Mus musculus: one gene and its partners. Each later gene encodes a partner of the first gene's protein in a complex. Links are inferred from orthologs where the notes say so. Each region holds a gene or a part of one and is shown on either strand. Other genes may lie near its edges. The genes, in order: Gnb1, Ffar2, Trpm3, Grk2, Calcrl, Adgrd1 and Ptgdr2. A codon is read from its position in the direction of its gene.

Region 1 (3,500 bases):
GTTTCCATGTTTCTTAAAGATGAAGGCATATTGGCCCTGGTTTGGCTTCACTTTCAGAAAATTTCTGGCCGTTACTTTCACTTTTACTTGAACCAATAATCAACAGATCACAAGAGCAGTATACATCCCAGTTAGCAGCTTACACCACTGGAACATGAGATGTGTACCTGTGTGTCCCGCCAGCTCACGACTCACACGCACATTCCCTTCACGAGTTTTCAGGTTGTAAATGGAGCAGATGTTATCCAGGCCACCACAGGCCACATAATTCCCAGAAGGAGCGTATGCGCAGGTCATGACCCAAGAGGAGCGCAGAGGGATGGCATGAACCTAAATAACAAGAATACAGACAGGAAACACTATTAAGTTCAAGAAAATATGACTACAGCTGGGTGTATAGTTTATGTTGTAGCCCCAGCACTCAGGAGGCAAAGGTAGGTGAATCTCTGAATTTGAGGCCAGCCAGGGCTCCATAGTAAAACTGTCTCAAAAACAAACAAAACAAAACAAAACCAAACCAAACCAAACCAAACCAAACCAAACCAAACCAAACCAAACCAAACCAAACCAAAAAACCCTAATGAGTAGATAGGTGTGATGGCATACGTCAGTGAATCTAGGAGTTGGAAAGCTAAGAGAAAGAAAAAGAGGGCTTTTTGTCGTGTCTGTCTTTTTTGGTTCTGAGACTTGAACTCAAAAGTCTTGTCCAGTAGGGTGTATATCACCAGCCCCGATGGCAAGTTTGAGGATATTTTGAGCTATACATAATGGAAAACTATCTCAAAGAAAACACAAATTATATTTGCATTTTAATGATTTAAGGAGTGATGTTAATAGGATTTGAAAAGATTTACTTTCCCCTTTAATTTATCATGGCTATGAGCTTAAAAAAAAACAAAGACAAGCACATAAAAAACAGCCAGGCATGGTGATTCATGCCGATCCCAGCAATAAAGAAGCTGAGGCAGAACTCATTCATATTCATTCTCTCTGACACTCACATGCAATAACCTAACTGCACACTGGTAACACAGTTAGTCTTGCTGTTTAGATAGAGCAGTTAACATTCTGTAATCTTGGCATGTATTTACTAATTTTGAGGGAAAATACAACTGTCCAATTTTTTTTCCTTAATTGATGACAGCATTAAAACTTGTCTTGAGATTTAATTTCATGTTATCTGTAGGAACATTTGATTAACTGTTGATTAACTGAGTACAGAGCCTGGAAAGCTAAAGGAGGGAGGGCTCTGGGTTCCCCTTTAACTGACACACAGAAGGCTGCAAACCACTACGCAGACGCTGGGGATAAAACTCAAGACGTTCTGGAAAAATCAGGCAGTGACTGAGCGATCTTTCCAGCCCTGCACCTTTTCGTTCGTTTTTGCAGGCAGGGTTTCTAGAGCTCTGGCTGTCTTGGAACTCACTTTATAGACAGGGTGGCCCCCTAACTCACAGAGATCTACCTGCCTCTGCCTCCCAACTTCTGAGATTAAAGTCGTGTATCACCACGCCTGGCTCGGCTCCCCGTACTTTATGCGCATGTGTGCTTGTGCACACGGAGGCTGAGGCTGACACGGGCCCTCCCCTGACTGCTCTCCACCTTCTTCTGTGAGACAGTGTTCCTCAGGACTGTCTAGAGCTCGTCTGTAGGTCTAGATAACCAGATTGCTTTGTGGATTCCTTGTCTCTGTCTTCCAAATGCTAGAATTATAGACTGGCCACTGCAACCACTCAGAATTTAAATGTATTCTTTTTTGTTTGTTTGTTTGTTTTTTTAAATTTTTTTTTAATTTTTTTTTTTTATTTATATGTAAGTACACTGTAGCTATCCTCAGATACTCCAGAAGAGGCCATCAGATTTCATTACGGATGGTTGTGAGCCACCATATGGTTGCTGGGATTTGAACTCAGAACCTTCAGAAGAGCAGTCGGCGCTCTTAACCACTGAGCCATCCCGCCAGCCCCGTTTGTTTGGTTTTTTGTGAATACTATTTTTTAGAGACAAGGTCTCATGTAGTTCAGGCTGGTTTCACTTTATTATGTGGGTAAGCATAATCTTTAATGCTTGAGGCTCTTGCTTACATTCTCAAATGATAGATTATGAGCATGTACCACCATACCCAGTGTAATTTATTTCAATATAAGAGAAGTGGAAATTTAATTCAGAGATTTGTACCTATGAGGCAAACATTCTACCTAGTATCTCTGTCTTCTCCTTTCCCCTATCTAGCCATGGCAGGTTTGCCCTCTGGGTTTATTCGATCATCCTACCTTAGCCTCCTGAGTTACTAGAATCACAGACTTTTACCAATCTGTTGGGTTACATTGGTTTTTTATCTTTTGTGGTTCTGGGAATCAAATCCAGGGAATTATGCCCAGTAGACAAGTATTCTACCACTGAGCTACATTCCCAATCCTCCACTAAACATTAAAAAGTATAGTGCATCTTAGATTATCTCTTGTTACTACAAAACAAACTACTAACTAAATGGAATCTGCATTTCAGTATTCTAGTAATAAATTAGGAAAGTTTCCAGTCAAAACTAGGAGTGGAGTGTAGCTCTTGTGCAAGGACAAGGAAGCACTCAGCTCCTATCTACATGCCAAGACAGGAACCACAGCACAACTGTATGCCAAGCTTAATGGGTCAGCAACACAAGCTCTTCTATCGCCCTCCGAGGTCATCATTGCTCCATCAACAGACTGTCACTGTTCCAGGGAGGGTCTTGCACTGCCCACCTTGTTTGTGGTATAACTGTCCCAGATGATGAGTTTTCCATCCTGAGAGGCGCTGACAAGGAGCCTGGAGAAAAGATAAAGGAAAAGAAAAAACAGAAACAAAAAATCTTGGTGACCAACTAGAGCTTTAAAGCTACATTCGCTTAAAATATAATACACTTAATAATAAGAAAGAGGATCTCAATGCTCGAGCAATGGAATACCATGAGTGTCAGATAACAACTCAGCCCTGGGGACACCTGGATGACCAGACTCCCCAGCTCTTCTCTTATCACCCGAGAGATGGTACTGATCTGACCTGCTTCTGACGGGTTTCTTTTTTATTCCAAGTTAAATTAGATACACAGAGACATGAGACATGTCAAATATTTAGGACACAGTTTTGTTCATACTGACAGCAAGAAAGCTTGAATATTATGGGAAAAGCTTGAAACACTACCCACTCAGGAACCATTTTAATCCATTTTAAACACCTGCCCTGTTTTTATTTATATTGGGGGTGGGGTGGGATAGGACAGAAGCTAGAGTCCTCTAAGGAAGAAGGAGCCTCAGCTGAGAAAATATCTCCATCTTATTGGCACATAGGTAAACCTATGGGTATGTCCTTGATTAATAATTGATGTGAGCATGGCCAGTTTACTGTGGGCAGTGTCGTCTTTGGGCATGTAGTCCTGGATGGCAGGCTAAGTAAGCCCTAAAGAGAAAGCTAGTAAGCGGTATTCCTCTGCGGTCTTTGCTGATTTCCTTTCATGATAGACT
Region 2 (4,268 bases), on another chromosome or scaffold:
CTGGCTAGTATAAGTAGGTTACTAGGGGAAGGCCTTTGGAAGTTTTAAACAACCCACTCTGGTCTGAGGACAGTGAGGGGCTGGGGGCGTGGCTCAGTGGTAGAGCCCCTGCCTAGAATTCCCCCGTGAGGGGGCTGGGGCATGGCTAGAATTCAAATGACTCTAGAACCCATCTCTAATACTAGAAAAAGAAAGACAAAAGGGAGGGACAGAGGGAGAAAGGAAGAATGGGGAAGGAGTGGAGAAGGCAACATGTTCTTGCCCTTGTTTTCTCACGTATATGTTTTGGGGGATTTTTCTTTAATATATATAAGTGTTTTGTCTGCATACAGCATGTATGATCAGTGTAAATGGAGGTCAGAAGAGACCGTCCAATTTCCTGAAACTAGACATTGTGAGCCGCCATGCCGTGTGGATGCTGGGAACTGAACTCAGGTCCTCTGCAAGAGCAACCAATGCTCCTAACCACTGAGACATCTCTCCAGCCCTGTGGAGGCCTTGGGAAGACTGGCTAACTCGTAGGTAACTAAACAGGTCAGAGGAGAGGACATAGAGAAACCAAGGGGTGGGAGAGAAGAGGAGGAGGAAGGGGAGGATGCAGAGCGTGCAGCTCTTCTGAGAGCAGCCACAGGGGACCCCTTACAGAGAGTGAACCTCCCTGCCTGTCATCTGTAGCCTAGCTGGCCTTAGCCTGTAGAGTAGTTAGGATTCAGGCCTATGTATGGCCCCACTCCTAACTTTCACCTTCTAGGAAGGTGTCAGAGGCTTGAGGGAAGCACCAGGGGCCCTGACCCTGATGCCTCATGCCTCCAGCCTCACTGGATGGCCCTGGATGTGCAGTGCAGTTAGGATTCCCATGCTCGCTTGCAGAAGGAAAGGAAAGTTCATAAAATCTGATCTGACCCAAAGTTCCCAGTGCAGAGACTTGGATGGCAGCCCGCAGCAGGCCAACTGTGCACCAAAAAACAAGACACAAGCTAGGGAAAGCCAGTCTGTCTCAACAAGGCCGAAGGAAACTTGGGGTGGACACCAGGAGACCACAAAGAAGTTAGACAAGGGAGGAATCACAGGAAACGGGAAGCCTCGTTCTGAGAATGACATTGACCTTCTAGACATTGCTCTGAAGAAGCCAATCAGAAGACAGAAAAGGAGCTGACAGGGGTAGGGGGTGAGGGTGGGAGCGGGTGGAGAGGCAGGTGGGAGGATAGGAGGGGGGCAGTGTCTCAGGGTTTGGGGGCAGGGAGACAGGAAGTAGGGTCAGAAAAATCTGTCAAAATCGGAATAGAACAGATCTCCAGGGAGAGGACAGAGCCGCAGCACCCCCCCGCCCCCCACCCCCACCCCCCCTTTGGGTTTGAGAGGAAATACTGCTCAGTTACTGACCTGCCTCTTTCTCTCTGGTCATGTGACCCATGCTAGTATAAGATCTTCCCACCAACCAAGTTCCTTATGATTTTTGGCTCCCCCTCCTTTTTCTGTATGAAATTGGCTGCAATAATTGCTAAAACTCCTCTTGCACCAGGAACCCCCAAGAAACATTCTCTCTGAAACCAGGCAAGGCAAGCCAGTGTGGTGTGTGCACGCAGGGGAGAGGATCTGAGGAGCAGCTGTGGGGTGAGGAGGAGGCTGCAGGATGTCTGTCAGAACACAGACCCGGAGGCTGAGGGTGGAGGTGGGTGTAAGGAACCATAGACCTTGAAATGAAAAGGACCGGGAGAGAGTGACTATTCGTTTGTAGCAAGAGTTACTAACCAAGTGGAAACAAAGTCACCTCCTGTAGAGGAGGAGTCCTGGATACAGTCAAAGCACCAAGCTTAAGCCAGCCACCTGTGCTCTCTGGGCTGTGTATCTAAAATTTGGAGGTTGGGGGGGACAAGCCATAGAGCAAGGAACTGGCTACCCTAGCTCCCCGGTTTTGGTAGGTTCCACAGCACTGGACCAGAGGAGAACCAGGTAGAAGAAACCCCTGAACTTGCCCAAGGAGGTAAGCTGACAGGTTGGGAGGCTGGGGAGGTGGCAGGGGGTGGGCACCTGAAGCTGAGGAGAGCGAGGGTTAGCAGGGTTGGTTTGCCTTCTGGAAGTTTCCTTTTTCTCCCGAGACACACACCTACCTGATCTTTCCCAGCTTCTATGGCTGCCTTCCCCTCTCTCCCACCAGGCTTTAGCCCCCAGCCACAGTCAGCAGCAAGAAAGGGAACCGATCACAGCTACTTCCTATTACCTGTGAGGCTACAGAGGAAAGGGGCCCTAGAAAGCAGAGGGGAAATTCCCGTGGGAAGTCAACTTGGTCTCCCCCAGAGACACAGGATGGCAAACGTAATAACTGCAGCTTAATATCCCGCCCAAGGCTAAGTCAATAATTGCTCTGGGCAGTTCTGGCAGGTGGCTTGAGCAAGCGGTGGTGAAGAGCAGACAGCTTTGGACTGAGGACAGGAGAGAACCAGAGAGGATGTGAGCAGTCAGAACTCTCCGGAAAGAGGGTCTGCAGGCTGTGTGCACTGCAGGTGGGGAGCTCTTGACCCTACACCTTTCCCCCCATCTTCCAGAATGACCCCAGACTGGCACAGTTCCTTGATCCTCACGGCCTACATCCTCATCTTTCTTACTGGGCTCCCTGCCAACCTGCTGGCCCTGCGGGCCTTCATGGGCCGGGTTCGCCAGCCTCAGCCTGCCCCTGTGCACATCCTCCTGCTTAATCTGACCCTGGCGGACTTGCTCCTGTTGCTGCTGCTGCCCTTCCGGATCGTGGAAGCAGCATCCAACTTCCGCTGGTACCTACCAAAGATCGTGTGCGCGCTGACAGGCTTCGGCTTCTACAGCAGCATCTACTGCAGCACGTGGCTGCTGGCGGGCATCAGCATGGAACGCTACCTGGGAGTGGCCTTCCCGGTGCAGTACAAGTTATCCCGCCGGCCACTGTATGGAGTGATCGCTGCTCTGGTGGCCTGGATCATGTCCTTTGGCCACTGCACCATCGTCATCATCGTTCAGTACCTGAACTCAACTGAGCAGGTGGGCACTGAGAACCAAATAACCTGCTACGAGAACTTCACCCAAGAGCAGCTGGATGTGGTACTGCCCGTACGACTGGAGCTGTGCCTGGTCCTGTTTTTCGTTCCCATGGCAGTCACCATCTTCTGTTATTGGCGCTTCGTGTGGATCATGCTCACGCAGCCCCACGTTGGGGCTCAGAGGCGACGCCGGGCAGTGGGCCTGGCTGTTGTGACGCTTCTTAATTTCCTGGTGTGCTTTGGACCCTACAACATGTCCCACCTGGTGGGGTTCTACCTGAGGCAGAGCCCCTCGTGGCGGGTGGAGGCTGTGGTGTTCAGTTCCCTCAATGCCAGCCTGGATCCATTATTGTTCTACTTCTCCTCCTCCGTGGTGCGCAGAGCTTTTGGGAAAGGTTTGCTACTGATCCGCAATCCTGCCTCCTCTATGCTGGGCAGGGGAGCCAAAGAGACAGTGGAGGGGACCAAGATGGACAGGGGTGGAAGTCAAGCAGAAGGGGTACAGAGTTCTGAATTTGTCACCGAGTAGAGAGTCCCCCGGATCTTCCCGAGCATTTGGGTCACCCAGAAGTTGGTCTGGTTAGCAGAGCTCCTGAGACTTGGTAAAAGATAAAAGATTAAGAAAGAAAGAAAGAAAGAAAGAAAGAAAGAAAGAAAGAAAGAAAGAAAGAAAGAAAGAAAGAAAGACACCTCCACCCATCTGCCACTGCCCTCTCAGCTCAGCAGAACCACTTGACTGAATTTTCCTGCCCAGAGAAGCATAGCTCCAGGATACAAGAAGGAATGGCTACACCCTTACACTGTATTTTCACAGTGGGGTCAGGGGCTCAGAAGCAAGGTGACTAATAGGGGTGCAGTAATAAAAGTAATTTTTTTCCTCGAGCTTGGAAATGCCACCTAGAGACAGTGATCTGGCTGGTGATGCTGGAAAGAAGCCAATGGAAAAGATGGGGGGAGATGGGGGGAAGAAGAGGAATGCCGGGAAAGCTCTAAGCCACAGCCTTGAGGCAGGGGCTGAGGGCGGGCAACACACAGGGCTCCCATCTCTGGTGATCTTGGCCTTTCTATATCCGATTGAGCTGTCCTTTGTACATGTGCTCCGCTGATTTTCATATTTTGGTCTTGTCTCCACTGTTATGCCGGGATCTGGGTCACATGCTTATCCTCTGTGTCACCAGTCACTGGGTCTAGGAGATGTCTTGGTACCCGTCTGTCTGACATTGACAATGACCTGAAAGGAAGGATTAAAAAGAAAAT
Region 3 (3,500 bases), on another chromosome or scaffold:
CAGTAGCAGCAGGAACGCCACTCTCTCCCCTTCAGCCTCTCCCTTTACCCATAGTCGAGCACAGCTTTGACATCTGCTAGCCTGATCCTCCAACTCCCCCAGCAGAGGAACCCACCCAAGTGACTCTTACTCTTTGCTTCTCATACAGGGTGGAGAACATGTCCATGAGGCTGGAGGAAGTTAATGAGAGAGAACATTCCATGAAGGCTTCACTCCAGACCGTGGACATCCGGCTAGCACAGCTAGAGGACCTCATCGGGCGCATGGCCACCGCCCTGGAGCGCCTGACTGGTCTGGAGCGGGCAGAGTCTAACAAAATCCGCTCAAGGACCTCCTCAGACTGCACAGATGCAGCCTACATCGTCCGCCAGAGCAGCTTCAACAGCCAGGAAGGGAACACCTTCAAACTTCAAGAGAGTATAGACCCTGCAGGTGAGGAGACCATATCCCCAACTTCTCCAACCTTAATGCCCCGTATGCGAAGCCATTCTTTCTATTCAGTCAATGTGAAAGACAAAGGTGGGATAGAAAAGTTGGAAAGCATTTTCAAAGAAAGGTCCCTGAGCTTACACCGAGCTACTAGCTCCCACTCAGTAGCCAAAGAACCCAAAGCTCCTGCAGCCCCTGCAAACACCTTGGCCATTGTTCCTGACTCCAGAAGACCATCATCTTGCATAGACATCTATGTCTCTGCCATGGACGAGCTCCACTGTGATATAGAGCCTCTGGATAATTCCATGAACATCCTTGGGCTGGGTGAGCCAAGCTTTTCAGCTCTAGCACCTTCCACAACCCCGTCAAGTAGTGCCTATGCAACGCTCGCACCTACAGACCGACCTCCCAGTAGGAGCATTGATTTTGAAGACCTCACCTCCATGGACACTAGATCTTTTTCTTCAGACTATACACACCTCCCAGAATGCCAAAACCCCTGGGACACAGACCCTCCAACGTACCATACCATCGAGCGTTCCAAGAGTAGCCGCTACCTAGCCACCACGCCCTTTCTTCTGGAAGAGGCTCCCATTGTAAAATCCCATAGCTTTATGTTTTCTCCTTCAAGGAGCTACTACGCCAACTTTGGGGTGCCCGTGAAAACGGCAGAATACACAAGTATTACAGACTGTATCGACACAAGATGTGTCAATGCCCCCCAAGCAATAGCTGACCGAGCCACCTTCCCTGGAGGTCTCGGAGACAAAGTGGAAGATTTATCTTGTTGCCACCCTGAGCGAGAAGCAGAGCTGAGCCATCCTAGCTCTGACAGTGAGGAAAATGAGGCCAGAGGCCAGAGAGCTGCCAATCCGATATCCTCTCAGGAGGCTGAAAATGCAGACAGAACCCTATCCAACAACATCACAGTTCCCAAGATAGAGCGCGCCAACAGCTACTCAGCAGAGGAGCCAAACGTGCCATATGCACATACCAGAAAGAGCTTCTCCATCAGTGACAAGCTTGATAGACAGAGGAACACGGCGAGCCTCCGAAATCCCTTCCAGAGAAGTAAGTCCTCCAAGCCGGAGGGCCGAGGGGACAGCCTATCCATGAGGAGACTGTCTAGAACATCGGCCTTTCATAGCTTTGAAAGCAAGCACAACTAAACCGGCTTACCGTGTGTTGCAGGAGGCTCGAGAATCCAGCGCTAAAATTCTCCCCAATGCCCACCACCACGTTCCCCCTTCCTTGAGTTAGACCTGCTTTATTCTTAGCTGAGCAAAACAATGGGAGACATTAACTCAAAGGTAACCTCTGGGCCACAGGTCAAGCAAGCATTCCATCTGGTCCAGTGCAAAACACAGGGGTCAAAGCATGTTCCTATCTGTTGGGCAGGGAGGGGTAAAGACAACAGACAGGGGCTAGAGATGAATGGGTGTCACCAGGCACCAGAGAAAGTCATGAGCTCTGGGAGCCAATGGGCTTCAGCACTCTCCATGCCAACAGGCATCATGGGATTTCGGCCCTGTTATCAAGAGTCGAGGGCTAAATTGCAAAATGAAATAAGAGTAGGCAGCGTACAAGATGAGATATTCTAAACTTCCATTCTGTTTTCTTTTCACATTGGTTCCATCACTGGTGACTGATGAAGAACATCCTTTTTATTCAGTATAAGCCGGCAGCAAGCAGTTCTACCTAACGTCCCACATCCTTCTCATGCCAACACCTCTGTAATTGGTCATTATAAAGAAAACCAAGGTAACAGTCATATATACAGTTCACCTGTCTCTTATCTATTCACCTCTGGTGCCACAACTGTTTATCTCTTTAGAAGAAAATAAGGGAACAGAAAAAAAATGCCTTTTTTTTTGTCTTGCGATCAAAATGAAAGAAGAATTGATGTTGAAAGCAAAAGTCATATGATTTATAATATACCACGGGCAATCAAATATAGTCAAGGAAGCTCAGGATGAATGTACTCAGATACTTTTATATTTGTAAGTTATTTTGTATCTCACCTGTCATCAAAGAATTCACTCGTCAAATGTGTAATATTGAACTTTAAGGAAAAGGTGGGAAGATCTAACATTAAGTTGCCAGTGGGATGTTGTCACAGTCTCACCGTTCATAGTGTGTGACGCTGCTGTGTGGGCCTTCATCATCTGCATGTCTCCACTATGTCCTCCAGACACCTCCAAGATGTAACTGCCAAATTTCCATACCGCTCATCATGTGACCATTTTGTATTTGAACACATGGTTATATGTGGATATTTTCATACCTAGAGTTTTAGCCATCTAATCTGGGCTCAGCATAAATTTAATCAGAGTTTTTCAAGGGCTGGTATCTTTTTTATGGAAATGTTCCAAAGTACTTTTTAAGGAAGTTTAAAAACCATAAATAACCTTAGATTTGAGTAGGGGCTTGATAGCAACCCAAACCCATCAGTTGCAGGTAGGCCATGAATATGTTTCTTATTTACAAAGCTATAAAAAAGATACAGTAGGGCTAAAATAGAAAGCAATTTTACCATATACAGAATTCTATAGTTTATGCTGCTTACATATACATCCACATACAGACTCATGTTTATATACAGTATGTATACAGACAGAGATTTCTTAAAAGGCTTTGACTTTCTGTCATCTGACGGTATAACTAAGATTATTTTTTAGTGTCCAAGAAGTTTCTCTGGAAAAAGTTTATTGTGCTATTGGACCCACTGTTGAAATTATAATTTTCAAAAGAAAAAATATCTCTGGTCTTCTTCACCTGTCTTTTCACTGAACAAGAACTGTCCAAATGGTCTCCTCCCTCCCCCTCCCCCCCTCCCTCCCCCTCCCCCCCCCCCCCCAATCTCCTTCTATTTGGAAGCATCCATTGTCATGAAATCCCTTTTACTCTGGTTGTTCTGACACAAAGCTATTACCACCAAATACACTCTGAATAGATGAGTGCTTCTAAGCCAGTTTGTATTACACCATCTAGGATGGAGGCATATGTTTCTAGAATAGAACCTGGACTTGAAGTGGGATAAAGAAATCTTGACCACAAATCTTTGGATT
Region 4 (4,172 bases), on another chromosome or scaffold:
ACAGCTCCCACGACAAGTGGTTTCAGCCATCCCATCCCACAAACCAATTATATGGGAGTGGGGGAAAGAGACAAAGCACTGACAGGAAGAGACTGTGGTTGGGACTCCAAGGACCTGTGACCCAATCCCAGATCTTCTGTGTGACAAGCCTCAAAGCTCGGTTAGTAAATGAAGAAATACCACCTGCTGGGTCAGCCAGCGTCCCAGAGTTGTGAAGACAAGACACTTCACAGATTGGGATATATTGGGCACACATGAGACACGATCACAACTACCTTCAAGGGTGAGAGATACCTGCCTCAATAGTGTGCAGAGCGCGTCACCACGTAGGGAACCTGCCTTCCATCATGAGAGGCTTGCATGCCTAGGGCCACAGCACTGCAGGGTGACTGTCTGAGCATACCAGTGGGCAGAGTTAGAGGCTCCTAACCATTCACAGACTGAGCAGTTGGCCCAACAACATCCTACTGATGGTGACCCTGCACCTGTGGTATCGCTTCCTAAAACTCACAGCCTGCTGCAATTTTGTTCACAGCTATTACCCCATCCTGGTACTGTTGGCCTTGCCAACTTCACATGTTGGTTTTTGGATCAACTGAGATGACAGATGTCAAAATAAATAATGAATTATTAAACTTTCCATTCTTATTCAATCACATCACATCACAACTGCCACCATATGAAAAGGTAAAAAGAAAGAGGTACAGCTCGTTTTTCAGGGTTCTTGAACACCAGCAAGGAGACGACCGGAGGTAGGGTCTATTAGGAGCAATGCATTCTGGGGAAAGATTGTCCAGACACAGAGAGTTCTAGAAAAGGCACCACCTTAAACTTTGCAGACCTCCACCTGCAGAAGAACCCCATGGCTGTGGCCGCCCAGGAGAGCACTACAAGCCCAAGATGCGGACTGCCCCTCCCCCACTCTTCCCTTTAAGTTTTGTCATTTCTGAACTCATTTTCATCCTAACTGCTGCTGCCCCTAGACAGCCCCAGCTGACACTCAGTCTAGTTCCTGTTTTGAGAAATCTGATTGCAAATGTCTTAGAAAAAAGGGGGGCCCAACGGCCTCTTCAAAACACAGACCAATTTTTCCTCTACAGGGCTTGGTTCTCAGTCAAACTGAAACCCAGTGTGCAGCCACTGGAGGAGGGGGCACGGTGACAGGCACAGCAGCAAGCCCGCAACCTGCCCACCTGGCTCTAAGGACAGAGGACACCAGAGGCCTATTTCACACTGCCCACTGGGGGTAGAGCATGTTCTACCACAGAGAATGACAGTAAAATCAAGGCCAACTCTTGGCTGTTAAAGGAGTTGGCATGGGAGGCTACTGGGACTGGCCTCACCACCCACCAGGAGGCATCCTGGTGGGTGGACACATCTCCTCTTCCAGATGCAGGACAGACGTCCAGGCCACCCTTCAGGTCAGGACAAAACATAAAACTCGAAGCTGAGAGCCCTGATGTGGAGGCCAGGTGACACTGCACAAGCCATTCCAGTCTGAGTTGTTTCCCCTCTCACACACACACACCTTGTTCTATGGGAACAAAACTACACCTGTCTCACTCGCTCTCTGGTCTCCTGTGCAGCTCAAATAGGAAGATAAGTCTATTTACCATAATATACTGGACAAGCCCCAGCTACACCTCTCACATCCTGCCCTGTTCTGCACCCACATCCTGGACAGTTTAAACTTTGATACCAGGTGCGATGACATCAGTTGTCTTGTAGAGAGGTGGCAGCATGGTCCATCTGCTGTAGGATGGGAGGTCCCCTGGTCAAAAGTACCCATAAGGAACCACAAGTGGGGAAAAGGGTAAAGTAGGGACTTCCCTCACCCACCGGAGCGCAGCCCTCAGGAATGGTACACTGCACTGTCCCCAGAAAGCACTCTCAAACCCAATCCCATAGTGACCCCACCATAGGGGAAGGCAAAATAAATAAATAAATAAATAAATAAATAAAAGTCTTCAAATTGGTCCTCTTCACTCCACAAACCTCACAAGAGTGTTACCCACTCCACGGGGAGTGGATAGGGTAGTGGAATACCAACGGGAGCAACAGACTGTGTGATACAATCGGGTAAACAGAGGCAGACTTGAGGAAGGGAACCACAAGGGAACACGAGAGGGTAGAGGGCAGAGCCAAGCATCAGGGTGGAAAGAAGGCTGCAGCAGAGTCAGGGGCTGACAGCGACCAGGCCGGGCAGTGAGATACAGGAAGCGGCAGGGCGGCCCAGGGCTAGGAGCTTGGACTTGGGGCGCCCAGGGCTTGCGGACACCAAGCCTTGCGGCGGCAGGGACAGAGGAAGTCTCCGGGTCCTGGGGCGGCCAGAATAATGGGGTCTCCGGGGCAGAAGGTCCCCGGAGTAGAAGGGGTTCCCGGGTCCTGGGGCAGAAGGTCCCCGGAACCTGGGGCGGAGGGGGTCCCTAGGGCACGGGATCCCGGGGCGGCGCGTGGGGCCCGGCACAGGCGGGCTCACCTGGGCTCTGGCAGCAGGATCTTCTTGCTGGCGCGCGCGGCCGGCGTGGCCTTGCTCTTCTCCATGGCCATCAGGTAGCTCACATCGGCCAGCACCGCCTCCAGGTCGGCCATCTTGGCGGCGGCGGCGGCGCTGTTCCTCCCGCCGCCCGAGGCTCCGCTCCGCTCCCGCTCGCTCGGCCCGGCCCGGCCCGCGCGGCTTGTGGGCCTCGGCGCCGCCGCCGCCCCGCCCGGTCCTCGCTCGTCGCCGGCTCACAGGCGGCGCCGCCCCATGGCGCCGGCTCGGGCCCGGCCCGGCTCGCGCTCCGCTCCCGCCGGGACTGCAGTCGGGGCGCCGCCGCCGCCGCCACCACCACCACCACCCGCTCGCCCGCGCCCCGGAGCTGCCGCCGCCGCCTCCGGCCCCGCCTGCCGCGCACAGCGCCAGCGAGCCGCCGAGGGGCCGAGCCGGGCGGGCGGCGGGCGGGCGGGCAGGCGACAGCGCCCCCTAGAGGCTGCACCGCTCGGGTCCGAGACACGGGTCTCAGTCCTGGTTTGTTACCTGAGTCTTCCACCAAGGACTCTAGGATGACCTCAGACCCCAAGCCATGACCACAAACGCGGATCCCATCTCAGCATGCTAGACTGCACGCTCCACTAGGGCCAAGACCGTGGGTCCTAACAAGAATCCTGACACCGACCAAGACTCCTATACTCAAATTTCTGAACATTCTCTCAGAGTCACACCATCATTACCACCCCTGACTCCTGACCTGACCAGATGACAATCCTGACTTCAAACTCCCAACAGGACCCCAGACTCAGAGCTTGGGCCGCACTCCTGACATGAACGTTTGTTGTTGTTCTTGTTTTAGAGAGGGTATCCCCGTGTAGCCTTGGCTAGTCTGTAACTCACTATGTAGACCAGGCAGACCACTAATTCACAGCGATCTGCTTTCCTCTGCCTCCCAAGTGCTGAAATGGATTAAAGGCATAGTCCATTAAACCACACTCTGATGAACGCCGAACTCATTAATTGATCGATCGATTGACTGATCAGTTGATTGATTGTGTATGCACATGTGGAGGTTAGAGGACAGACAATTTGACCATCAGTTCTCTCTTTTTACCACATGGGTCTCTAGGGATGGAACTCAAGGTCCTCAGGCTTGGTGGCAAACATTTTACCCACTGAGCCCTTCTGTGCCTTCTTCCTTGGCCAACTCCTGTCTACTTTACCTGGCTAGCACACGAGAGGCAAAAGCAGGTGTCTTTCTGTAAAGTCAAAGCCAACCAGGGCTATAGAGTGAGACCCCGTCTTAAGCAAATGAGTGAAAGCAATTTAAACTGCACACCTCTCTAGAGCACCTCTTTGCTTTCCAGGCTGCCAGGACACTCCCACCCCAGGCATGGACACTTAGAACCTGATTCTCCTGCCAGTTCGTGTCCAGCAAAGCAAGTATCCCGACTCCCCTGACTTCTTGACTCCTTCAGAAGAAAACAAATCCTATTAGGGGAGAAAGGTTGTCAGCGGACGACATCTCTAGACAGATCCTGCCTCTACTTCTCCTTTCCTAGGTCACCACTACAGCCTCCTGAGAGTCCTCTGACCTGTCCATTTCTCAGGGTTCCTAAAACTGCCCTCTGATACAGGCTCTGACCAGAATGGCTGTCCCCAAATCTAGATCTGATGGGATTACTGTACATTCAAGGCC
Region 5 (3,500 bases), on another chromosome or scaffold:
ATCTCAGCTACACTCGGTATAGTAAAAAAATAATAAAACTTAAAATTACAATACCTTTTAAGTATGTTCTCTGGTAATTCGGCATTCTGTACTACCATTTATTGTTAATACTTGACAGTTTGTTTAGAAGAATGCAGAATTACACGAACACTGTCAGCGAAGATATGAATAATCAATACCTAAAGTCTGAAGGTATTAAAAGGAAGGTTTGTACGGTTTAAGCAGCTGAAAGTTCAGAAAATTACAAATATAAAAAAAAAAGAAAGAAAAAAAAAAAAGAAAATTACAAATATGTCTGTCAGATCATGTAATACATCAGTGCTTGATAATTTGAATTCTTTTCCTTGACAGTTTCAAACAACTTTTTAATTTATTCTCTTCTATAGCTTAAGACAATGAGTGAGGGCTGAGTCACTCCTCTCATCCACTGTAAACTGACAGACACACTTTAAAAAACATGGACTCATGTAACTGTCCCCAGAGTGACTTTTACTAACTGAAGTCAATCTTGTTCTTCAGAAACTCCAAACCAAGCAATATTGGAAAAACTAAATCCATTTAAAATGTCACTTAAACTCACAAGCAAAATCTTCTTCTGTCTTAATTTAATTATTACTTAAATATCTGACACTTCATCCTCAATGAGTGGTAAGTTCAAGTCTTCCCGTGGCTTGTATTATCATCCACAGTAGTCTACTGAAATACTGAAACAGTGTTATTACATAGAGAAAATTCCTCTGTGGTTCATAAAAAAATAATAACCTGGGTCTTTTTCAAAAGCATGTATCTTCATTTAGTAAAAATCAGTAAAGCTATAATTTAGTGAATTAAAGCCCACAAATGTAGCAGACTAGCACTTCTTACAGTAGTTGTTCATAATTTCTGAATTTGAATGAGTTGTCATCAAATTGGAATATGTCATATTGGAAGCAGTATGTCAGCACACCAAATATATCATGCTTGTAAAATTATGGCTTTACATTTTTAAATAAATATTTCATATCTTATCATTGATATTTCTGGGGTTTGTTTTTAGTTCTCAAACTTCTGATGCTGGTATCTGTTTGTCCTTAAAATATTTACCAAGTATAGAATTCATGATTCTATTTTACTATAAAATAAATCAGCCCAGACACAGTATCAGATACTAAGTTGCATATAATGTTGCATCATCTATCTGCTTTAAAAGTTACCTAGGTTGTGTTTTGAATTGAAACAATAAAATAAAATTACAGAGTACTTACAGTTTCATTTGTACAACCTCTCTCTCTCTCTCTCTCTCTCTCTCTCTCTTTCTCTCTCTCTCTCTCTCTCTCTCTCTCTCAGATTCCCAAGATAAAAAGAAATCCTTCATTGATTCCCTTCATGTAAAATGGTTGATCACTTACTTATCTACACAGTAGAAATGGAAAGGCCAAAGTTTCTATTTACAGATTCCAGAAAACTGATTTCCTCCTATTCTTGCCGAGAGAGAGAGAGAGAGAGAGAGAGAGAGAGAGAGAGAGAGCTGACAAGGTGTAGCTTCTACCAATATGTCTCCCTAGTGATTCAGAGTGCATATACCACAGGATACAACAATATGTAGCAGCAACTAAGAAGCCCATGGGAATTCTGCTCAGTTGCTTTTCTTAAAGAAAGTAACATGAGACCACAGAGATAATGAACTCTTTGTCTAGTCTACAAGAGAAGTTATAAAGAGGGTTAAAGTGTTTCTGGACAAACCATTCACTATCACCAAATGACAAAAGGATGAGGAGTTTTATAACAAAAACCAAACTTTCCTTTCATGTCTGTAAGTCCGAGTGAGGTCTCCTCAGATGAGAAGAGCAGAGTTCTGGTCAGTGTGGGTGAGAGTGTGCACAGACTTCCATCTCTGAGGGCATGCAGTGCTGTGCAGGTTCCAGAACATGTCAGCTCCTGGGAGTTGTTTGTGCTTATTTTCTTTCCAATTACACATTCAGTGATGTCAGGTTGGTAACTTGAAATCAGTTATGGTAGGAGTAGTTACTGGCCAACAATATAAATTGAGGCTTTTCTCCCCCATAGAGAGAGGGTTGTTAAACATTTATCCATACAATTCCCATTTCATTTGAGGGCTTTCTTCATGGTATTCCAGAAATCCATTTGCTGGCTATCCAATCTTTTGGCTATAAAATCATAGGTTCAAGTGTGTGATTTTATATATTTTCACATCACTAGATCATACATATTTTCTGATTTTAAGGCAACATTTTCAATATCCTGGATGCTTTTTCCATTTAAGTGTTCAGTGGGGCAGTCATGGCTGTACCCTTGCATGTCACTGATTGTTGACACTGTGTAGGATGCACTGCGGAGAGCATCAGAGTGGGAAAAGCCATTTCCAAATTGGATTTTATACTGGTTCCAATTTCTTCTCAGAATTGCTTGAACCTATTGATCAACAATAAACAGAAACAGCAAAAACAACCCATTAGTTGAGCTGAAAATACTCTATTTGATGCATAACAAAATGTTTGGCAGAAAAGCTTTTGCTCTTTAAAGGAAGAAGACCAAACTGGTCCTGGTCTATAATTTTAGTTACACATGAAACTGAAGGAGGAATACTGCAAGATCAACACCTGCCTGCATGCTAGTATTAAGTAAGCTCAGACCTACCTAAGTATCTTACTTATATCTTGTATAAAAATAAAAGGTAAAGGAGAGAAAGAGAGAGAATGAGAATTAGCTCCTTAGTAGGTTGTTCACTTCGTATTTATGATGCCCTAAATTCTCTTCCCTATGTTGTTCTCATGAGAGTTGGGCATGTCCTATCTTTGAATCAGTCTTTTAAATCTTTCTCTGGTTCATCACTTTGTCTATCCCTCAATTAGATGTTTCTTTCAAACATGACTGCTTCCTTCTGTAAACTAATCTTACCTGTATTGTTTGGGATTAAAGGCATTTACTAAAGGCTTGTTTGCATTCCAGCCAGATCACAGAGACCCAGAAGGTCTTTGGATATGTGGTTTCTTGCCAGAGCAGTCATTTTGCTGGATTAAAATTCCTCTAGCCCATAGCTTTCTTTCTTAAAACAAATGTGAAGTTTAATGCCTTTTTTCCTGACTGAAATTAAAGATTATGAATAATTGTGTCAGATACACTGACTTCTATTTTGATTGAATTAGGACTCTAGAAAGACTTCCTTCATGCTGAGTCCTTAAACACAAATGAAAATAGTCAGCTGAGTCTTAGATGCCATCATCTTTATACTAACAGATCTGATAACTGTGTACAGCCTGAGTAGAGGCTGGCCAGTTTTAGGTCATAATATATTTGCCCCATCCCTGTGGTGTAATATATGTTTGCCTAGATGTTTGTTGTTTGAATAGATTTTCCCAATCTGCCATCTAATATTTTGTGCCTGCACCCAAAGGAATCTAAGAATAAAAAGAAATCTAGTAATTCATATACTCTTAACATCCTCAGATATTAAGAGTATATAATTAACTTTCTGTTCAAAATATTTGTGTAAAGTCCAT
Region 6 (3,500 bases), on another chromosome or scaffold:
TAAGTCAAAGGAAGGCAGAGAGGGAGCAGAAACAGGAACGGGCCAAGTGACGTCAACATCTCACTTCAAAAAAAAAATGAGCAGAGCAAACAGAGGAAAGACCTAGGTCAGAATGGAGAACTCGAATGTCACCTTGAACTAGCTAAGCCTGACAGGGTTTGAACACGCTGTCCAACAGCAAAACACAGACTCTTTCCAAGACAATGGTATATTGATACACCATGAGTCACGCTGACCAATCCCATCTCCAGCAATGTCCCTCCACACCTGATCCCCCCCCCATCCCATACCATCTCCACCTAAACCCAACCCATCTCTAGCTAAACCCACCCCATCTCCATCTAAACCCATCCCGTCTCTACCAAACCCTGCCCCACAGTCACCTGCTCTGCCTCTCTGCCACCAGAACCCATTCCATTCCATCTGCCCCATCCCTACCCGGCCCACCTCATCCCTCCCAACCTATATTAATAGGTCCCACCCCTGCCATCTGCCCCACCCCTGCCACACACCCCAGCCTATCCTTGCCCTCTGCCCCTCCCCTACTACATACCCCAGCCTATCCCATAGTAGTAGAGGTGCTTGCTGTCCTCTGAGCCGAAGACCTTTATCACCATGCTGTAGAGATGTAGTCCCTCCACCAGCATCCAAGCAAAGGCGGTCAGGAAGAAGTAATGTAGGAGGACAGCCAGCACCTGGCACGGGACCTGGTAGCCAAGCAAAGGTGCAGGGTGAGACCACGGGGTACATGGGGGGGCCGTGCTGAGGCTTTGCTTACTCTTATTTATTCCCAGGACCTCATTTTATTCCTGGGGAGGCAAGGCTCAGTTTCTCAGGCCAGAGTTCTACAGCCCGTGTTGCTGCCACTCCCCACATGCCCACTGCTACTCCCCAGCCATGCCCACTGCCACTGCCACTGCCGTGACTCAAGAAGAGACAGCTGCCGGCCGAGGGTCAGCACCCACTCACCGTGCCAGGCTCCATGCTGAAGCTGATCAGCAGCAAGACCTGGGCTACCAGGACAGCGAAGGACAGGTTGGCGTGGATGTGGTAACGCTGGTTCCGAATGGTGCTGACAGAACTGAAGACAGAGAGGCGGGTGTAAGTCCCGGAGCTCAGCCTCGACATCCTACCCCCACTCGGGTCCCCTCTCTACTTCTCTTTGAGAAACCATGAGTATCTTCATAGCTCCTACCCCTGCCCATGCCATAGCTCCCTGCTTGGACCCTGGTTGTTCTGGGCTAGCCTCCTACTTCCTTTCATAGTTCCAGCCACTCTGCACAGCCTGAGCCCTTCCCGGAAGTTCAGTGGCTCCTCTAACCTCCCTGGGCCCTCTTCTGTTTCACCCTTTCCACTGTGAGGGATGGGGTGGGGGAGATGGAGGGAACTAATTGAAATTCTAAATTAGAACCTGCAGAAAATACACCCCATGACGTCATGGGCATCATCGAAATTGAGGGCAGCAGGAAGGGAGGGCGCCTCTTGGATACAGGAGGGTGGCTACAGGACCCGCCATTCTTTTATGGTCATTCCTGGCAGGGCTCTTCCTGGAGGCCTGGATGACTACCAATAGGGAGGGCTTTCTGGCCTCCCACCCTAAGATGCTCACCTCTGCACTGTCTCCTTGTGCGTGGCAGACTGCTCGAGAAGGCATTTATTTATTCTTTGGCTTTCTTGGTTATTGATGGGCCCCATCCAAAGGCATTTATGCATAACTTGGCCTCAAAACCAAGCACCATTGCTTGCTGATGAGGGTGCAGTCAAGGATGTATGTGCTAGCTCTCGCCTGGCTCAGATCCCACCGGAACTCAAGTGCCAAGGTGGGACTTTCCAGACCTTTCTGACATGTCTAAAACCTGCTGACCCTACCCTACAGGCCCTGCTATTTCCATTTTTTCTGCACCTCAGATATGAAAGTGAAAGTCACCGGAGAACAGTCACATAGTCACATCTGTACCCCTACTAGCTAGGACGCATGCCCCCGCCCCCCCAAAGGGTCTTCAGAGCCAGACAGAGGAATGGCCAGAGTGACAGGAAACACTTATATTTCCAGTAACTTTCTAGACTTCCTGGGGACACAAGGAGAGGGTGACTCACGACAGTACTGCGAAGGTGACCAGGGTGGCAGCCAGGCAGAGAACTGACAGAGAGCAGCCAACGTAACTGATGGACGACAGCGCCACCTGGTGTCCATGTGTGAGCTGCGGGAACAGAAGGAGATGTGGGAGGCTGGCCTTCCATCCATCCCATCCCCTGGCTGGGATGGTGCCAAAGTGGTTACACCCACAGTGCTGACCTTGTAATGCCAACCTCCAAGACTTGCCTCACAGAAAGAGGGCTACACCACACTGGAATTCAGGGTTGGCATTTCCCGTGCTCTGGGTTGCTCCGTTGTATCCGCTGTGTTCCCCACTTAAGCTACCTGGCCTGTATTACCACCATACTCCCAGCCATGTCTGAATGGGTGATCTAGGATGATCAGAGATATGTGCCTCCTCTGGCTATGAAATTCAGAGAGCAACAGTGAGGGGCTTGAGGTGGGTACCAGTGGATGCACAGACATAAGGCTAGGAAAACTACACACAGCATGCTGGGTGAGAGGATCACTTCCAGGTCTCTTGTCCTCAGTATCACTAACCCCCAAATTGACAGTCACTATATACTTGCCTTCACTGGCAGGCACACACCAGCCCTTGGGACCATCTCTTAAGTGGGCACCTATGTGGTCACCTGGACTGACATCTGTTGTGACAGACCATCTTCCATGCAATACAAGACATATGTAACAGACTATGCATCCCACTGGAGCCCAGCAGCCTGGGCTTGATGTTCTCATCCATGCCTCAGCATCTGGTACCTGGCCCTGTTCTGTTAAGGCTGGGTTTTTGGCTCTACCGGATGGTGTCCCAGCTCTGACGGAGGCTGAGCTTCCCCCTCATGCACTCTCTGGCCCTGGACAGAGCCTAGATACAGCCAGGCCTTGAGAGCCACCATGGTTCGCTGGGCGGCTCGAGGTTGGCGAGTATCCCTCATCTCAATCATTTGCTGACCACAGGCAGGAGCCTTACTGGGGCTGAGCCCAGGCTGTCAGCATTCTGTGTCCTATGGAAATGGATACACAATGCAGGTACAGGTGGGCATGAACATCCCAGCTACTGTGGAAGGATGGAGATGCCATGACCCCCTCACGGAGTTAATTAGACATCGAGACTAGGCCTTCTGCAGCTCAGGTCACCCCATGGGAGAGTCCGATAAGGAATCTGGGCCTCAGATACTTCCTACCAGGACCCAGGAGTCTCTCTGTCTCCCATCAGCCACCTGGCTTACCAGGGAAATGAGGTGCACAAGTCCTTCACAATGAATAAAATTCAGGACTTTTTCATCAAAAGCCAGGAGACTCCTCAAGGTTGATAGATTGACTAAGCTGCCAATCACAACAAGGAGCTACCTTCCTGGCTAAAGGACAGAGTCTAGTCCCTGGAGTCCTGGTGGGAACTGCC
Region 7 (4,055 bases), on another chromosome or scaffold:
TTTATATTTATATAAATATATAGCATATTACACACATGAGCACAGGCATACATATATATGGTGGAGTGATGGCTCAGTGGTTAAGGGCATTGATTGGTCTTCCAGATGATTAGGATTCAATTTCCAGCACTCACATCACAGTTCACAATTGCTGGTAACTCCAGCTCCAGTGGGTCCTATGCCCTCTTCTGGCCTCCATGGGCACTGCACACACATTGTGCACAGACACACATGCAGGCAAGATGCCTGCACGCAGCATAAAATATAGTAAATAAATCTGGAAAAAAAAAGATAAGGTGGAGGATGACGAGGAAGACACGTGATGTTGATCTCTGGTCGCCATACACAAACACATGTGTACTACAGTGCATGCACGCACACACATATATTGCACATACACACATGCACCACAAGGTGGCTGACCCCTGAAGAACAACAGCTGAGGTGTCCTCTGGCCTCCACATGCATGCTCATCTGCACCTGCATGTCTGCACCTATGAGTGCATACACACATGTATGCACCTATGTGTGCATACACACTCACACAAGTCAAGACAATAAGAAAATGTAAACCTTTTGTTGTTGTTTTTTCACGACAGGGTTTCTCTGTGTAACAGTCCTTGCTGTCCTGTAACTTATTTTGCAGACCAGGCTGGCCTTGAATTCACAGAGGTCCACCTGCCTCTGCTTCCCTAGTGCTGGGATTAAAGATGTGCAGCGCCATGCCTGGCTAAAATGCAAACTTCTAAGACTCGACCTTCTCCTCCCCTGGACTTGGGCTCTATTTCCCTTATTGTGAAGCAGCTACCTGCTTTGCCCACTTTTCTGTGGATGGGAAAGAAGCTGTCTTTGTGAACACCTACTACGTGCCAGATGCTCCCCTGACCTGCCTCAATTCATCCTTCCCACTTGCTATGAGAAGACCTGTTTCCTGGTCACCGGTGCAGCACACAGGAGAAATGACTGACCTCCTGACCAAGGGTCTCTGTGCTCTTCCCACGGCCCCTACGTTTCCTCTAGTTCTCTGGGGACAGGGGCCCATGCTGCCTCAGAAGAGCTGGAGTGCTTCTCCTTGGAGAATCGTGGTGTCTGGGGATTGGCAGTAAAGGACTTAAAACACTGTCCTCTGGGTTCCAGAGGCTCCTCCACGAAGAGGAGCTTCCAGGGGCTGGTGGCCTGGATGGAGATGAAAGACTTTGAACATAGTGTCCCCGCCCCTACTCTTGGGGCTGACAGCTATTTCCTCCTTCAGCTCACTCTCCTCCTGCCACTCGCCTGGTGCTCAGTCCTGCTGCTTTCAGAAGCTGCCAGCCTTCACGACTCAACCCTGTGCTCACTGTGTTCACTGTGTGGCTCGGTAAGGAGGCAGCCTTCCAGGGGCTGGGCAGCCTTGGTGCACTCTCAGGATTAGAGAGAGGGCTACTCCTAGCTGGAGTGATAAGGGGCTGGATGAGCTTAAGAGCCTGGTGGGGCCTGATGCGCAGAAGGAAGGATTGTGCTTTCCTGGGTGTTATCTAGATGGTAGACACAATGTGTGAGCTGTCTGATCATGGCCACCATGCTATCTCAGGAGAGGGGACAGGATCACTTGGTGAGCTTAGAGAAACTGACAAGTTCACCCAGCTGGAAGTTGAGTTCATGCTCAGGGTGTTGAAAAGCTGGGGTTCCCAGTAGAACAGGATCCTAGCTGCTTGGGTGCCCCAAGATCCCGGGTCTTGAAACTGTCTTCAGACAGCCTGAGGGATCAGAATGGGTGGTTCTGAAGAGTGCAGGAGCGCTGTCTTCTGAGCATCCCATGACACTGACAGTGCAGCTTGAAGGGATGTCTCACAGCAGAAAGAGAATAGCTCACATCTGTCTGCTGGGATCCTGGAAAACCTCAGTCTCCCTCCACAGCACTGTCCCAGCTTCTCTGCCCTTCTGAACCTCAATTTTCTCTTCTAAAAAGCTACCTTTCATTGGATTAATGTGAGTAGGACTGCTCTGCAGACGCTAAAGCTTAAAAAGTAGGATCAGTAAGAATTCATAGAGCTCAAAGATGTCAGATGTGCCTGCTCCCTTTGACCTAGCTCCAATAGGTATTCTGTCAGGGATCTTCTAGGTTGGGGTCCCAGAGCTCCACCCTAGGAAGATCAGTGGCTTCTGGAAGGGTGTAGATTTTTCCATTCTGGCCAATAGAATTTGAAAGAGGAGTTCTGTTAGAAAGAGGGGTTCTGAGGTCTCTGGCAAGCTCCTATTTCCTGCTCTTCTCCATTTCTCTCTCTCTCTCTCTCTCTCTCTCTCTCTCTCTCTCTCTCTCTCTCTCTCTCTCTCTTTCTCTCTGTCTCTCTCTCTGTCTCTGTCTCTCTCTCTCTCTCTCTTTCTTTCTTTTTTTGGTGTTTTTGAGACAGGGTTTCTTTGTGTAGCCCTGGCTGTCCTGGAACTCACTCTGTAGACCAGGCTGGCCTCGAACTCAGAAATCCGCTTGCCTCTGTCTCCTACATGCTGGGATTAAAGGCATGCGCCACCACTGCTCAGTTCCTTCTCTTCTTCTATCATCCCACTTTCAAAGCTAGATAGACAGTAGCCTGAGGACTGAACAATCCCTCTTCCACATGTCTGTGTTGCGTGGCTCAACAAGCACTTTAGACTCTTGTGTCTCAGTTTTTTCAACTGTACAATGAATGGGATGGAGAGAGTCTTGGCACATTTCTTCCAGAGTCACAAGAAATAACATCTATTACAGGATCTACCACAGTACCTGGAGGGTTGTGGGTGCCTGGCACACCCTGCTTTCATTTCCTCTCTGCGGCAGAGTATACAATGTGATTCCCTTAGCCCTCCCTGGTCCCAGCTTCGTTACCGGGTCCTGGGGTTCTCCATGAGGCTGAGAACCTGGCTTGTCCAGAGCTCCTTAGTTGTTGCTTAATGTGCCTATTGGCCCAGTGTGTGGGTGAGTAAATGGGTATGGGTTTCCTGGGAAAGGTAGGACTGTCACTGCCTTCCCCAGATTCCTGTGTGATAGTTCCTCCAGCCAGGTCTCACGCTTGTCCTCTTATCTTATCTCCTCTCCTTCTATCAGAGGAAGGGCCAGCTCCCCTGGTCTCAACCAATCAGCACACCCGATCAGTCACTGAGGCTGACAACTGCTCTCTAGGAGGAACTGCAGAGAGGTAAGGCCTGTGGGGCTGGGTGGTACAAACCTCCCGTCTCATTGGAGGGGCTACCTTTCTGTGTTTTGGAGACTGGGAAAATAGGTCCTGCATGGCCTGACCTTTGTGATCTTGGACAAGTGCTTAATAGTAATCAAAATGGAATTGATACAGTGCCTGCTTTATGTCAGTTCTCTTGTGCATGTATGTGTATGTATGTGTGTGTATGTGTGTGTAAGCCAAAAATCAACCTTAAAAGCAGTCACCTTAAAAAATGACTTATTTTTATTATTTTAAATTGTGTATGTGTGTATGTACACATGAATGCAGGCTTATGTATGTGTGTGTATACATCAGATATCAACCTTGAGTCATGTTGCTTAGGATCTGTCCACATTAAAAAGATTTTATTGTAAAGTGTGTGTGTATGTGTGTTTGTGGGTACGGATGCGAATGCAGGTGTCTGCAGAAGCCAGAGGGGTTGGATCCACTGGAACTGAATTATATAGGCAGTTGTGAGCTGCCCCATATGGGTAGTGGAAGTCAAACACTGGTCTCCTGAAAAGCAGTATATGCTTTGCTGTGGAGCCATCCCTCTGGTCCCCTACCTTGTCTTTTTACGTTAAGGTCTCTGGGACCTGTTTCACTGAGTAGTTTAGGTTGGGTGGCCGGTGGGCCCTCAGGATCCACCTGTCTTTCTCCAGCACTGAGATTACAAGCACGTGTACCATACCCTACTTTATCCCTGGGTTCTGGGGTCAAACTCAGCTCCTCACGCTTGCATAGCACACACTTATATTTTCTCTAGCAAGCACTTACATTTCCCCCCTCTACCCATGCCCTTTTTAAATTGTTCTCGTTTTGTTCCAGTAGCCCTACAAACTAGAGACTGTTAGGCTCAGGAAGACTACACTTGGCTTGCCC

Evidence for each region.
Region 2: the proteins of Gnb1 (region 1) and Ffar2 are in contact, whole or in part, in a cryo-EM structure (PDB 9CM7), measured with the Homo sapiens proteins. The link is inferred for Mus musculus from reciprocal best matches to the Homo sapiens genes GNB1 and FFAR2. Residues at the interface, in NP_001269468.1 of Homo sapiens: Arg52, His54, Leu55, Asp312, Ser334, Phe335; in NP_001357016.1 of Homo sapiens: Arg37, Gln38, Pro39, Gln40.
Region 3: the proteins of Gnb1 (region 1) and Trpm3 are in contact, whole or in part, in a crystal structure (PDB 6RMV), measured with the Mus musculus proteins. Residues at the interface, in NP_001153488.1 of Mus musculus: Lys57, Tyr59, Trp99 (codon at 303), Val100 (codon at 300), Met101 (codon at 297), Leu117 (codon at 249), Tyr145, Gly162, Asp186, Met188, Cys204, Asp228, Asn230, Asp246, Arg314, Trp332; in NP_001349418.1 of Mus musculus: Lys615, Arg616, Lys618, Ala619, Lys621, Leu622, Leu623, Gly624, Met625.
Region 4: the proteins of Gnb1 (region 1) and Grk2 are in contact, whole or in part, in a crystal structure (PDB 5UKL), measured with the Homo sapiens proteins. The link is inferred for Mus musculus from reciprocal best matches to the Homo sapiens genes GNB1 and GRK2. Residues at the interface, in NP_001269468.1 of Homo sapiens: Leu55, Ala56, Lys57, Tyr59, Ala60, Gln75, Asp76, Gly77, Lys78, Pro94, Leu95, Arg96, Ser97, Ser98, Trp99, Val100, Met101, Leu117, Tyr145, Ser147, Asp186, Met188, Cys204, Asp228, Asn230, Asp246, Ile270, Cys271, Asp290, Phe292; in NP_001610.2 of Homo sapiens: Tyr553, Gly556, Lys557, Asp558, Phe584, Pro585, Asn586, Arg587, Glu589, Pro597, Gln598, Leu600, Thr602, Glu604, Ala654, Leu657, Val658, Val661, Pro662, Lys663, Met664, Lys665, Asn666, Lys667, Arg669, Pro671.
Region 5: the proteins of Gnb1 (region 1) and Calcrl are in contact, whole or in part, in a cryo-EM structure (PDB 6UVA), measured with the Homo sapiens proteins. The link is inferred for Mus musculus from reciprocal best matches to the Homo sapiens genes GNB1 and CALCRL. Residues at the interface, in NP_001269468.1 of Homo sapiens: Arg52, Phe292, Ala309, His311, Asp312; in NP_001258680.1 of Homo sapiens: Lys167, Ser168, Ile394, Arg397, Asn398, Gln401.
Region 6: the proteins of Gnb1 (region 1) and Adgrd1 are in contact, whole or in part, in a cryo-EM structure (PDB 7EPT), measured with the Homo sapiens proteins. The link is inferred for Mus musculus from reciprocal best matches to the Homo sapiens genes GNB1 and ADGRD1. Residues at the interface, in NP_001269468.1 of Homo sapiens: Arg52, Asp291, Val307, Ala309, Gly310, His311, Asp312, Asp333, Phe335; in NP_942122.2 of Homo sapiens: Ser593, Val594, Ser595, Arg598, His819, Lys822, Val823, Leu826.
Region 7: the proteins of Gnb1 (region 1) and Ptgdr2 are in contact, whole or in part, in a cryo-EM structure (PDB 8XXV), measured with the Homo sapiens proteins. The link is inferred for Mus musculus from reciprocal best matches to the Homo sapiens genes GNB1 and PTGDR2. Residues at the interface, in NP_001269468.1 of Homo sapiens: Thr50, Arg52, His54, Leu55, Gly310, His311, Asp312, Ser334, Phe335, Lys337; in NP_004769.2 of Homo sapiens: Cys59, Arg60, Arg62, Lys314, Arg317.

Annotation. Positions count from the first base shown.
Region 1 is NC_000070.6:155,539,861-155,543,360, reverse strand, and holds part of Gnb1 (guanine nucleotide-binding protein G(I)/G(S)/G(T) subunit beta-1), read right to left. Parts: intron 2,806-3,500; coding exon 2,742-2,805; intron 331-2,741; coding exon 168-330; intron 1-167. UniProt on the Homo sapiens protein: Guanine nucleotide-binding proteins (G proteins) are involved as a modulator or transducer in various transmembrane signaling systems.
Region 2 is NC_000073.6:30,818,393-30,822,660, reverse strand, and holds the start of Ffar2 (free fatty acid receptor 2), read left to right. Parts: upstream 1-1,468; 5' UTR 1,469-1,554; exon of another isoform or gene 1,555-1,672; intron 1,673-1,683; exon of another isoform or gene 1,684-1,922; 5' UTR 1,923-1,984; intron 1,985-2,111; exon of another isoform or gene 2,112-2,240; intron 2,241-2,373; exon of another isoform or gene 2,374-2,546; 5' UTR 2,547-2,547; coding exon 2,548-3,540; 3' UTR 3,541-4,268. UniProt on the Homo sapiens protein: G protein-coupled receptor that is activated by a major product of dietary fiber digestion, the short chain fatty acids (SCFAs), and that plays a role in the regulation of whole-body energy homeostasis and in intestinal immunity.
Region 3 is NC_000085.6:22,986,708-22,990,207, forward strand, and holds part of Trpm3 (transient receptor potential cation channel subfamily M member 3), read left to right. Parts: intron 1-148; coding exon 149-1,601; 3' UTR 1,602-2,086; coding exon of another isoform or gene 2,087-2,109; 3' UTR 2,110-3,500. UniProt on the Homo sapiens protein: Constitutively active, non-selective divalent cation-conducting channel that is permeable to Ca(2+), Mn(2+), and Mg(2+), with a high permeability for Ca(2+).
Region 4 is NC_000085.6:4,303,423-4,307,594, forward strand, and holds the start of Grk2 (beta-adrenergic receptor kinase 1), read right to left. Parts: upstream 2,801-4,172; 5' UTR 2,593-2,800; coding exon 2,480-2,592; intron 1,772-2,479; exon of another isoform or gene 1,700-1,771; intron 1-1,699. UniProt on the Homo sapiens protein: Specifically phosphorylates the agonist-occupied form of the beta-adrenergic and closely related receptors, probably inducing a desensitization of them. Key regulator of LPAR1 signaling.
Region 5 is NC_000068.7:84,331,267-84,334,766, forward strand, and holds part of Calcrl (calcitonin gene-related peptide type 1 receptor precursor), read right to left. Parts: intron 2,413-3,500; coding exon 2,188-2,412; 3' UTR 1-2,187. UniProt on the Homo sapiens protein: G protein-coupled receptor which specificity is determined by its interaction with receptor-activity-modifying proteins (RAMPs). Together with RAMP1, form the receptor complex for calcitonin-gene-related peptides CALCA/CGRP1 and CALCB/CGRP2.
Region 6 is NC_000071.6:129,176,750-129,180,249, reverse strand, and holds part of Adgrd1 (adhesion G-protein coupled receptor D1 isoform 2 precursor), read right to left. Parts: intron 2,202-3,500; coding exon 2,098-2,201; intron 1,082-2,097; coding exon 970-1,081; intron 708-969; coding exon 554-707; intron 1-553. UniProt on the Homo sapiens protein: Adhesion G-protein coupled receptor (aGPCR) for androgen hormone 5alpha-dihydrotestosterone (5alpha-DHT), also named 17beta-hydroxy-5alpha-androstan-3-one, the most potent hormone among androgens. Also activated by methenolone drug.
Region 7 is NC_000085.6:10,935,905-10,939,959, forward strand, and holds the start of Ptgdr2 (prostaglandin D2 receptor 2), read left to right. Parts: upstream 1-1,255; 5' UTR 1,256-1,357; intron 1,358-1,817; exon of another isoform or gene 1,818-1,968; intron 1,969-2,505; exon of another isoform or gene 2,506-2,932; intron 2,933-3,061; 5' UTR 3,062-3,152; intron 3,153-4,055.